Linked DNA regions of Danio rerio. The protein of the gene in region 2 purifies or fractionates together with the protein of the main gene of each other region. This does not show direct contact. Links are inferred from orthologs where the notes say so. Each region holds a gene or a part of one and is shown on either strand. Other genes may lie near its edges. The genes, in order: cdk8 and med16.

Region 1 (4,431 bases), on a different chromosome or scaffold from region 2:
ATTAGAAACGGCAAAAAAAAAAAAATCATTGAATACAAATGAATAAGCAACTATAATTTTATAATCCAGCAACTAGGGTTGTGAAATTGATTGAAATCGAATTGAAATTGCACACCTAAATGGTTATAAGAGATGCGTTGAAGGGATTATATGCTGCCTCCTTAATTTATTCTCTTAGGTAAGGACCAAATTTAGAGGGAAAATGTGCTTTATGCAATATAAATCTTGAAGCATCAGAATTGGTTCACTGTAATGGCTGCAAAAATCCTGATAGAAGCATCCCTGGAAGTCAATAATTGATTTGAATTATTTACCCTGATTTGTTTACTGCTCATAAATCTTGTAAATGTTTCCCAAATTAAAATATATTGTGTTCAAAGGGGAAAAAAGTTTTTAGCCAGACATTTAAAAATAATATATTTAGAGCAGTAATCACAATACTTTTAAACTGTGCTATTTTTATACAAGTTTATCATACATCAGAAAAATATACTGACCCATGCCTAGAACGTAGACACTTATAATCAATAGTACGAAAAAAATCTATTGGTTTCCAACATGTTTCAAAATATCTTCTTTTTGTGTGCAACTGAAAAAAAATGTTTCTAACAAGTAAAGGTTGAGTAAACGATGGCAGAATTTTATTTTAGGAACTATCACCTACTTCATTTTAGTGAAACATGACCTTATTTCGAATTCTCTGCATGACAAACACAATGATGCAACATTTTATCTACATAAAACAGGGGTTACCAAACTTTTCAGCCAGCGTCCCCCAAAATAACAAAGCCTGCAACATTGAGGTCAAGTAGGTTTTATATTCGCACATTCTGACTTCTCCTTAATATTATAATTTTACAAAAATATTCTTTGCAAAATCTAAATGGTAATATCATATTAGCAGCCAAAGACTATCAAGAAACAACATTGTTCAAAGTCATATAAATAGTGCTAATGTTGTTTTCAAGTAATAATTGCATGTGATTTCAGACCGAATATTAAAATTTTGATGGTAAACACTATAGGGAGCATGTCACAACAAGTTGACACTTTCCCTCAATGCTCATGATCCCCAGATTCATCGGAGGTGGTTATAAATATACAAACGTTGTACACACAACAATAGGCCTTGTTAAACACGAGCATATTGACAACACAAAAAACTGCAACAGTCTAACAACCATAGGCTATAATTTATATGGTCATTTATGAATGTGTTTAATACTAACCTCACCTAATGAGACCGGTGTTTTTAAGCACAAGTCTGTTCTTGGTTTAATTTTGGAGACCAGCCTGTCAGTAGCCTGTATATATTTTAATGTATTCAATTGCCACAAAATTGTCAGAGTCAGAGATATGTCAAGATCAAGGTGGTGATATGAAATCAATCTGCTGCAGCTGATGCTATTACTGTTGTGTTCATCTAAAATAAACGCACCAATCCAACAAGAAAAAATTAAAAGGCTGATGGCTTTTTATTTGCATGTTGTTGCTTTTTTATGTAACAATAACCTACTATTTTTATCTTCTGTGGGTTATGGTTAATTACGGTAATTCTAATAGAAGGTTTCACCAAGTTAAATTGTAGACTTTAAGACATTTTTAAGACCATTATGAATGAAATTTTCTCTAGCCCTATCAAAAATGATGAAAATTGTATACATTTAAACATACAATAATAATAATTGTGTTTTATTATTTTTGTATTAATTGTCAAATCTATCCATTCACAAACCCTATAACCCTTACCAAGAACAGAACAAAACATAGCTGTCAATTACTTCAGTCTATAGTAATAAATAATAATAGAAATATGTAGGCCAGGTCAGTATCCTCAGCAGTAAATAAATGGAGAACTTTTAATCAAATGTATGTTACTGTAAAGAAAGTAATTAAATGCTATTTTTAAATTAAAAGTTTACGTTTAATTGATGTGGATTGTTGGTGATTGCATTGATGTTAATGGCTAGATCGGTTAACTATACATGAACAAAGAAAATTAAGACCTGTTAAAATAGATTTGAGACCTACAAAACACAACATTTCAGTAGATTTAAGACTGTTTAGGGGCTAAAATTTTGCTTTTGACAATTAAGACTTTGCGGATATCCTGTAAGAGTTTAATAAATTTATTTGACTTTTGGAAATCCGCAAGCGACACCCTGTCATTGTCCGGCGAACCCCACTTTGAGAACCACTGACATAAAACATGCATCAACATCAGAGCCACTAATACCAGGAGTCAATCTGTAGCAGAAATGCTCCATTGAGGCTTCGGGTTTACCGGTGTAAACAAGCCTTCGTAAAAAGTATCTTCGTCTTCATCATCACGAAGAAAAAACCCACAAATCAGCCGCACCTGTTCCCATCACAACAGCACAGCCTCGTCAATCACAACACTTGTGCCTGCTGCTGCTGACGTACATCCACAATCCCTTCAAAATAAGCCTGCGTTTAAACCGTGAACCCTGCATATCAATCTCACATCAGCTGCCGTGTCTCTCTAAAACCCCGAACCAATGGGCAAAAGCGCTCGGTGTGTTTTGGTTGTGTTTCAGAGGTCAAAAACGCGACGGGAGCGCAGGCCTCATATCGCTGCATTTAAGTCCGTCGTGCAAAACTCACCCATCTTTCCTCTTCGCTTTGTACACATGGCCATAAGTCCCCCGTCCAACTTTACATCCTTCGTACTCAAAGAGGTCCTCGACTCGTTCTCTCTCCCCGGTGAGCTTCACTTTGAAGTCATAGTCCATTTTCGGCGTGATTCTGGGGATCCGGGCTGTGGCTTCCCTTTAAAGCGCCGCTGGGGAGGCAACTTACTTCAAGCCCCGTTTAGACAATTAGTTGCCTTCCCTCGCGTCGCTCTGAGCTCGATTAAAGAGTCCTCATTTACCGCGAGCGATCACGGGCGGCTGAAACGACGTGTAGAGCGAGTGTGCTTTTGATCCGACACAAAGTGCAGAGTGTTATTGGACTAACAGTCGCTTTCTTTGATATTTCTGTGCAACTGCGCCGCTCAGCCGGTATCTCACCCGGGAGAGTTGAGCGTCCACGTACGGCAGTGTCGCAAAGCGTCGTGAAACCGTTCCCAAGCCCACAGACGTCGAGGCTTTGTGGCGCACCACGTGGATTTTAACCCTTTGTTTAGGAATGGATTTGTTTTTCAGTTTTATAGCATGTTTTGCATTTTAACCCTCTATGGCATGATTTTTAGTTTTAGGAGGGAAAAATGGTTTACCCTTATTTTTGGGTGCTTGGGGTCCCTTGTAATAAATCAATCATAAAATGTGCCCCCCTACATTTGTTTTGCATGTTCTCCCCATGTTTATGTGGGTTTCCTCCAGGTGCTCCAGCTTCCCCAACAGTCTGAATACATGCACTATAGTTGAATTGAAAAAGCTAAATTGGCCGTAGTATAAGTGTATGAATGCATGAGTATATGGGTTTTTCCCGGTGTTGAGTTGCGGCTGGAAGAGCGTCTGCTATGTAAAACATATGCTGGATAAGTTGTTGGTTCATTCCACTGTGGCGACCCCTGAATAATAAAGGTTCAAATTAATTAATAAAAAAATTATTTAATAAATCTCAACAAGTAATATTTCATCAATATCTAGCCATAAATGGTGTAATGTGTGTTCTTGTGGGGTACTGATTGAATGTACTTATTTACCAATGTTTATTATTCACTGTGGAACCTTAGTGCAGTGGTTGGTGCATGTGAAGCAAAGGGGACATAAGAGTGACAATAAGAGTGTCTTATAGACTATTTGAAAACAGCATAATTAAACAATTAAAAATTTCCCTAAGCTGATTTATCATATAGTAATTATAATGTAAACTGCCTCACCATAATCAATATAACAAATATTGAAAAAAACATATTGCAAGTAACTTTTAAAAATCATGTTTAATTGCAAAGGTAGATATAAACATCATTGCAAATAAAACGCACCCTCAATCAAAAACGTACTGTTTAAAAAATTACATAAAAATGGTAAAATAATGATTAAATTTTTCTGCATTAGGAGTGAAATTATCTTTGTGATCCAAACCATGAATATATGCAGAAAGAACCTAATAATAAGTTTAATAATACTGATATTACTATACTACTACTTACTAATAATTTAAAGAATAATAATAGCTTAATACTAATTTGCAAAAAAGGCTAAAAGGCATTTCCAAACATCAAATCATCAGTTGAGATGAAATTATCTTTGTGATGCAAACCCTAAATATATTTAGAAAGAACCTAATAATAACTTTATTATTACTGATGCTACCACTACTACTAGTAGTAATCTTAATAATAATAGCTAAATACTAATTTGAAAAAAGTCTAAAAGGCATTCCAAACATCAAATCAATGAGTGTGATACAGCTTTAAATTGTATTTTTGTACAGCAGAATGTGTCATGTTTAACTATATTT
Region 2 (4,608 bases):
TGCCACTCATTAACTGAATATTAACTGCTAACTGGTCAGATTAATATTAAACTACTATTTAATTTAAAACAAAGCAATTGACGTGTCTATTTTGTGTCCGACACATTTAATATTGCATTTTAAAATACTGATTTATTTTAACATGCAAACATAATAACAACCGCATTTAATTAATGCTCCGCTACATTTTTTAGCAATCAGCATCAGTGCTGCTTTGGCATCGACTTGTCTGTGTCAAACTGTGACCAGCATCATCCTTCTTTCATTTTGCTTTTTTGGCAAAATATGTCTGTGGGCACATGTAGTTGCACATGTTACTGTCTCACGAATAAGCAAATATGTGTTGCACATTTATGCAGCCAAACTTAAATAAAATAAAAACAATACATTTTTAATCATTTAACTGATACCAATAATAGATTAAAATGCACCTTTTAAGACAGGGATGCCCAAACTCTATCCTGGAGGGCCGGTGTCCTGCAAAGTTTAGTTCCAACCCAATCAGACACACCTGGGCTATCTAATCAAGCTTTTTAAAGGCTTTCTATAAACATCTATGCAGGTGTGTTGAGGCAAGTTGGAGCTAAAATCTAGTGGTGGGCAAAGCGAGGCTTCATGAAACACTGAAACAAACAGTCGAAGCAAATGTGTCGAAGCTTCGAAATGTTTTGAAACCCCACTCTACGGTGACCACCTAGTGGTCATTTTTATGTATTGCACTGAAACAGCTTCAGCAAGAACATTTTAGCAAATTGAGGTATTACACCCCACTTTGTAAAAGTATCTATTCAAGAGATTTAGTGGAGCGGTTAAGGTTTCTGACTTCCATGTGGGGATATTGAGTTTGAATCCAGGCTGATACGGCTTTTTTGAAATGCTTTAATACCAGTTGGTAATGCTTTGTTCTTGTTTCGTTTTGTTTCAACATTGGTCTGACATCCGAATAAACACTTTGTAAATAAATATGTCTTGTTTTGGTATTAAAACAGAGTTGTTGCTAGATCAGACACAGTTGTGGCCAGAAGGTATCAAGAATTATTTATATTATTTATTAAATTTCCCATTTATTGTATTTCATTAACGTCTATCCAAACCCTAAACCCAACCATCACAGTACTGTAAAAATATTTATTATTGTTTTAGTGTTACAAAAATGATGCTATATTGATGGCGTATCCTCAGCTTTAATCTATTTAGGCTACACCATAAAACAGAAACATGATTAAAATACATAAAACCATGATTTAGGTGTATTTGTACAAGTCGGGATTCAAACCCAAAAGTCATTGGAAGTATAAAAACAGCGTGTACAGGCACAGTCCACCAGGCCATATGAGACAGATTTTGAAACTGACGCCGGCAGTTACATCCAGATTCGCAAGGTCTCGAAACACTTCTTAACTGATTGTTGCTTTGAATCATTTTAGTCACGTGTCCAGGTGTTTTGAAACACTTTAGTCACGTGAATTGGGTGTTTCGGATCATGCTTCGGTGCAGTGTTTCGAAACACTTGTGCTTCGGGATCTCGAAACTGTGTCGAAACGTCAGTTTCACGTCAGCCATCCCTACTAAAATCTGCAGGACACCGGCTCTCCAGAACTGAGTTTGGGCACCCCTGCTTTAAGTTAACGGGTTAATCAGTTATTAGGAGTATCCCTAAAACTGATTTTATAAACAACTTAATTAATAAATGTTTTATGAATATTAAATAAAAATGAATATACCTTTTTTATTATTATTTTTCTTCATACTTTGATTTGGCTTTTTTGCTTCATATTAAATTTAGCAATTGTATTATTTGCACTACTGTTTTCATTTGTTATAATATAAAGTATAATTTTTTTATTTGCCTTTTTGATTTACTTTTATTTTAATAAATTATATATATTTTTTCTGTTCTGTTACTTGCTAAAGCAACATTTGTAATTTTCATTTAATACAAGTTTTTTCTTTATTATCAGATTTTTTAAATAGTTTTAGTATTTGATAATGGTAAAAACCCTGATTTGGAAAAGTATTTAGGTTTTACATTGAAACGCGTCTCTCTTCAAATGTTTTTAACACTCTAAAATGATTCAAATGTCAATTATAAAATAATTATATTATTACAAAAAATCTATAATAAAAATAAATATTATATTAGATTTTATTATTCTGTATCTAATCTGTACTGATTTAAGACCATCGCAGTACATTAATCGAGTAAAATTAGGCTTACCCTTACAATACTGAGACTACCCACCTAAAATAAATGGAAACTTTACTTCTAAAAAAAACTTGTCAAATATGATCTGCACATATTGCCAAATGTTTAGCCCATTTCATCTTTATCATCATGATGACTGACCAGACTGATCCCATTCTAGGCAGGAAATTATCTCATTGTGACCAGAATTGATGGAGTACACATCCCAGGGGTGATCAGTGTCAATGATGTGTATCATATGACTGAGATCTGCAACAGAAAAAAAAAACATGATTGTTGTTGCTGATATAATGCTTGATCATAAATAAACACCATTGTTCTATGTATTTTGGATCCAAAACGAATTGAAAATGTATGTTGTTTCTTGTCCTCCATTCATAACTCACCAACAGGAGTGGTAATATTGGTAATAAAGGCATTGTCCAGACCTTTGTCATCCTCCTCATTCTTCAGGTCAGTGGTGAAAGCGATGAGGTTTCTACATGACCAGGCGCACACCAGAGGGATTGAAGGACAGTGGTTGCTCTTGGGTCTCTTCTCCCACTCGCAAACATATGCGATATCCATCATATAATGAAGGAAACTTACTGTTTACAGCACAGATGCCCCAAATGAACACCTTTGAATGTGTTCACAATCACTACGGGAGACAACAAAAGCAAACACCGCTACTGTACAGAAACAGAAGAAAATGATGGGTATGGCAGACTCAAAACTACATGCTCCTGCTAATAAGTCCGAACATAAATTAATTTGTTAATAATATAAATTGTTCTGGCGTTTCAAATCTATTCTAATTCAGCAAATAGCACTTTGAAGCTGCACATCACATCATTGAGCGCCTGTATTCGTCGACTCTTTCCGGATTCAAAGACTCATCTAATACTTACCACCCCCTATTGGGCTGGAGCTCCGATCTATTTCTGTATTTGTCTATCTACGTTACTTTTGAAGCATAAAAGCGTTAACAAAAATGTTTACTCATGCATGGTTATGCATTATTTATTAACAAAAGGCTTTTTTGTTCCTATGCTTTTATGTATGTATGTATGTATGTATGTATGTATGTATGTATGTATGTATGTATGTATGTATGTATGTATGTATGTATGTATCTATGTATGTATGTATGTATGTATGTATGTACGCTATTTATATATTATTTTTCTCTTTTTTTATATAAACGTTTTATTTTTGTTTATACATTTTTATAATTTAATTTATATGTTTAAGTTAACCTTTTAAGTCTCTCTCTCTGTGTGTGTGTGTGTGTGTATGTGTGTGTGTGTGTGTGTGCGTGCGTGCGTGCGTGCGTGCGTGCGTGTGTGTGTGTGTGTGTGTGTCTCAGAAAGGGTTTGACGTACAGAGCTAATAATGTGCCAAAACAATCACAATTTGAATTGTATTCATTTGAATTATTAACAATTTTAATTTTAAAAATCAGATTTTTTTATGACATTAAAAATCTTTTAAATTTGATTTTCTTCATTTGAATTTGAATTTCATAACTTGAGTATTGAACATCTGAAATGCAAGAACTTTTCAAGCCTGATTTGTTTGTGTTCTGAGTTCATAGACTGTAGATATTAAGTTTGTGAAAATACAGTTTCAAATTTTCAAGATGAAGAAATTTAGAACATCCAAATCAATATCATAAAATTCAAAACCAGAAATTCAGATTGTGAAATTCAGGGCTGGAAATATATATATATATATATATATATATATATATATATATATATATATATATATATATATATATATATATATATATATATATATATCTATATATATATATATATATATATATATATATATATATATATATATATATATATATATATATATATATATATATGGTCTAAATAACGAATGTGAATGAACAATTCAGTGACAAAGAGAGATTTAGCGCCACCCATTGGACATTTTGATTTCAATGCATTTCAGTCAAAAAATAGCCTACTGTAATATTTTAACACAAAAAATCAAACGTTTGAGAATATGTCTATAAAAAATTCCGCCTTGAAAAATTCAGTTGTCTTACATTTCAATATTCAAGTTAGAAAATTCAAACTAAGAAATTCAAAACAATTTTTAACGGCATATAAAAATTCAGATTTATTAAATTACAATTGTCTAATTCAAATTAACACAATTCAAATTTAGATTGTTTTGCTTATTATTATTTCCATAATACGCACATCAAATGAAAACATGGCAATATTTACAGCTAACAGCTTATCATTTTTCAGTAAAGCAACTCATTCATTCATTTTCTTTTCAGCTTAGTCCCTTTATTAATATGGTGTTTGCCACAGCGGAATGAACCGCCAACTCATTCAGCATATGTTTTACGCAGCGGATGCCCTTCCAGCCGCAACCCATCCCTGGGAAAGTAAAGC

The links.
Region 1: the proteins of med16 (region 2) and cdk8 purify together in Homo sapiens (affinity purification with mass spectrometry; 10 studies listed by BioGRID and IntAct, counting the BioPlex papers as one, with this or other methods). This does not show direct contact. The link is inferred for Danio rerio from reciprocal best matches to the Homo sapiens genes MED16 and CDK8.

The regions. Positions count from the first base shown.
Region 1 is NC_133199.1:25,393,526-25,397,956, reverse strand, and holds the start of cdk8 (cyclin-dependent kinase 8), read right to left. Parts: upstream 3,079-4,431; 5' UTR 2,754-3,078; coding exon 2,626-2,753; intron 1-2,625.
Region 2 is NC_133186.1:14,600,143-14,604,750, reverse strand, and holds the start of med16 (mediator of RNA polymerase II transcription subunit 16), read right to left. Parts: upstream 3,059-4,608; 5' UTR 2,777-3,058; coding exon 2,635-2,776; coding exon of another isoform or gene 2,593-2,634; intron 2,456-2,592; coding exon 2,348-2,455; intron 1-2,347. UniProt on the Homo sapiens protein: Component of the Mediator complex, a coactivator involved in the regulated transcription of nearly all RNA polymerase II-dependent genes.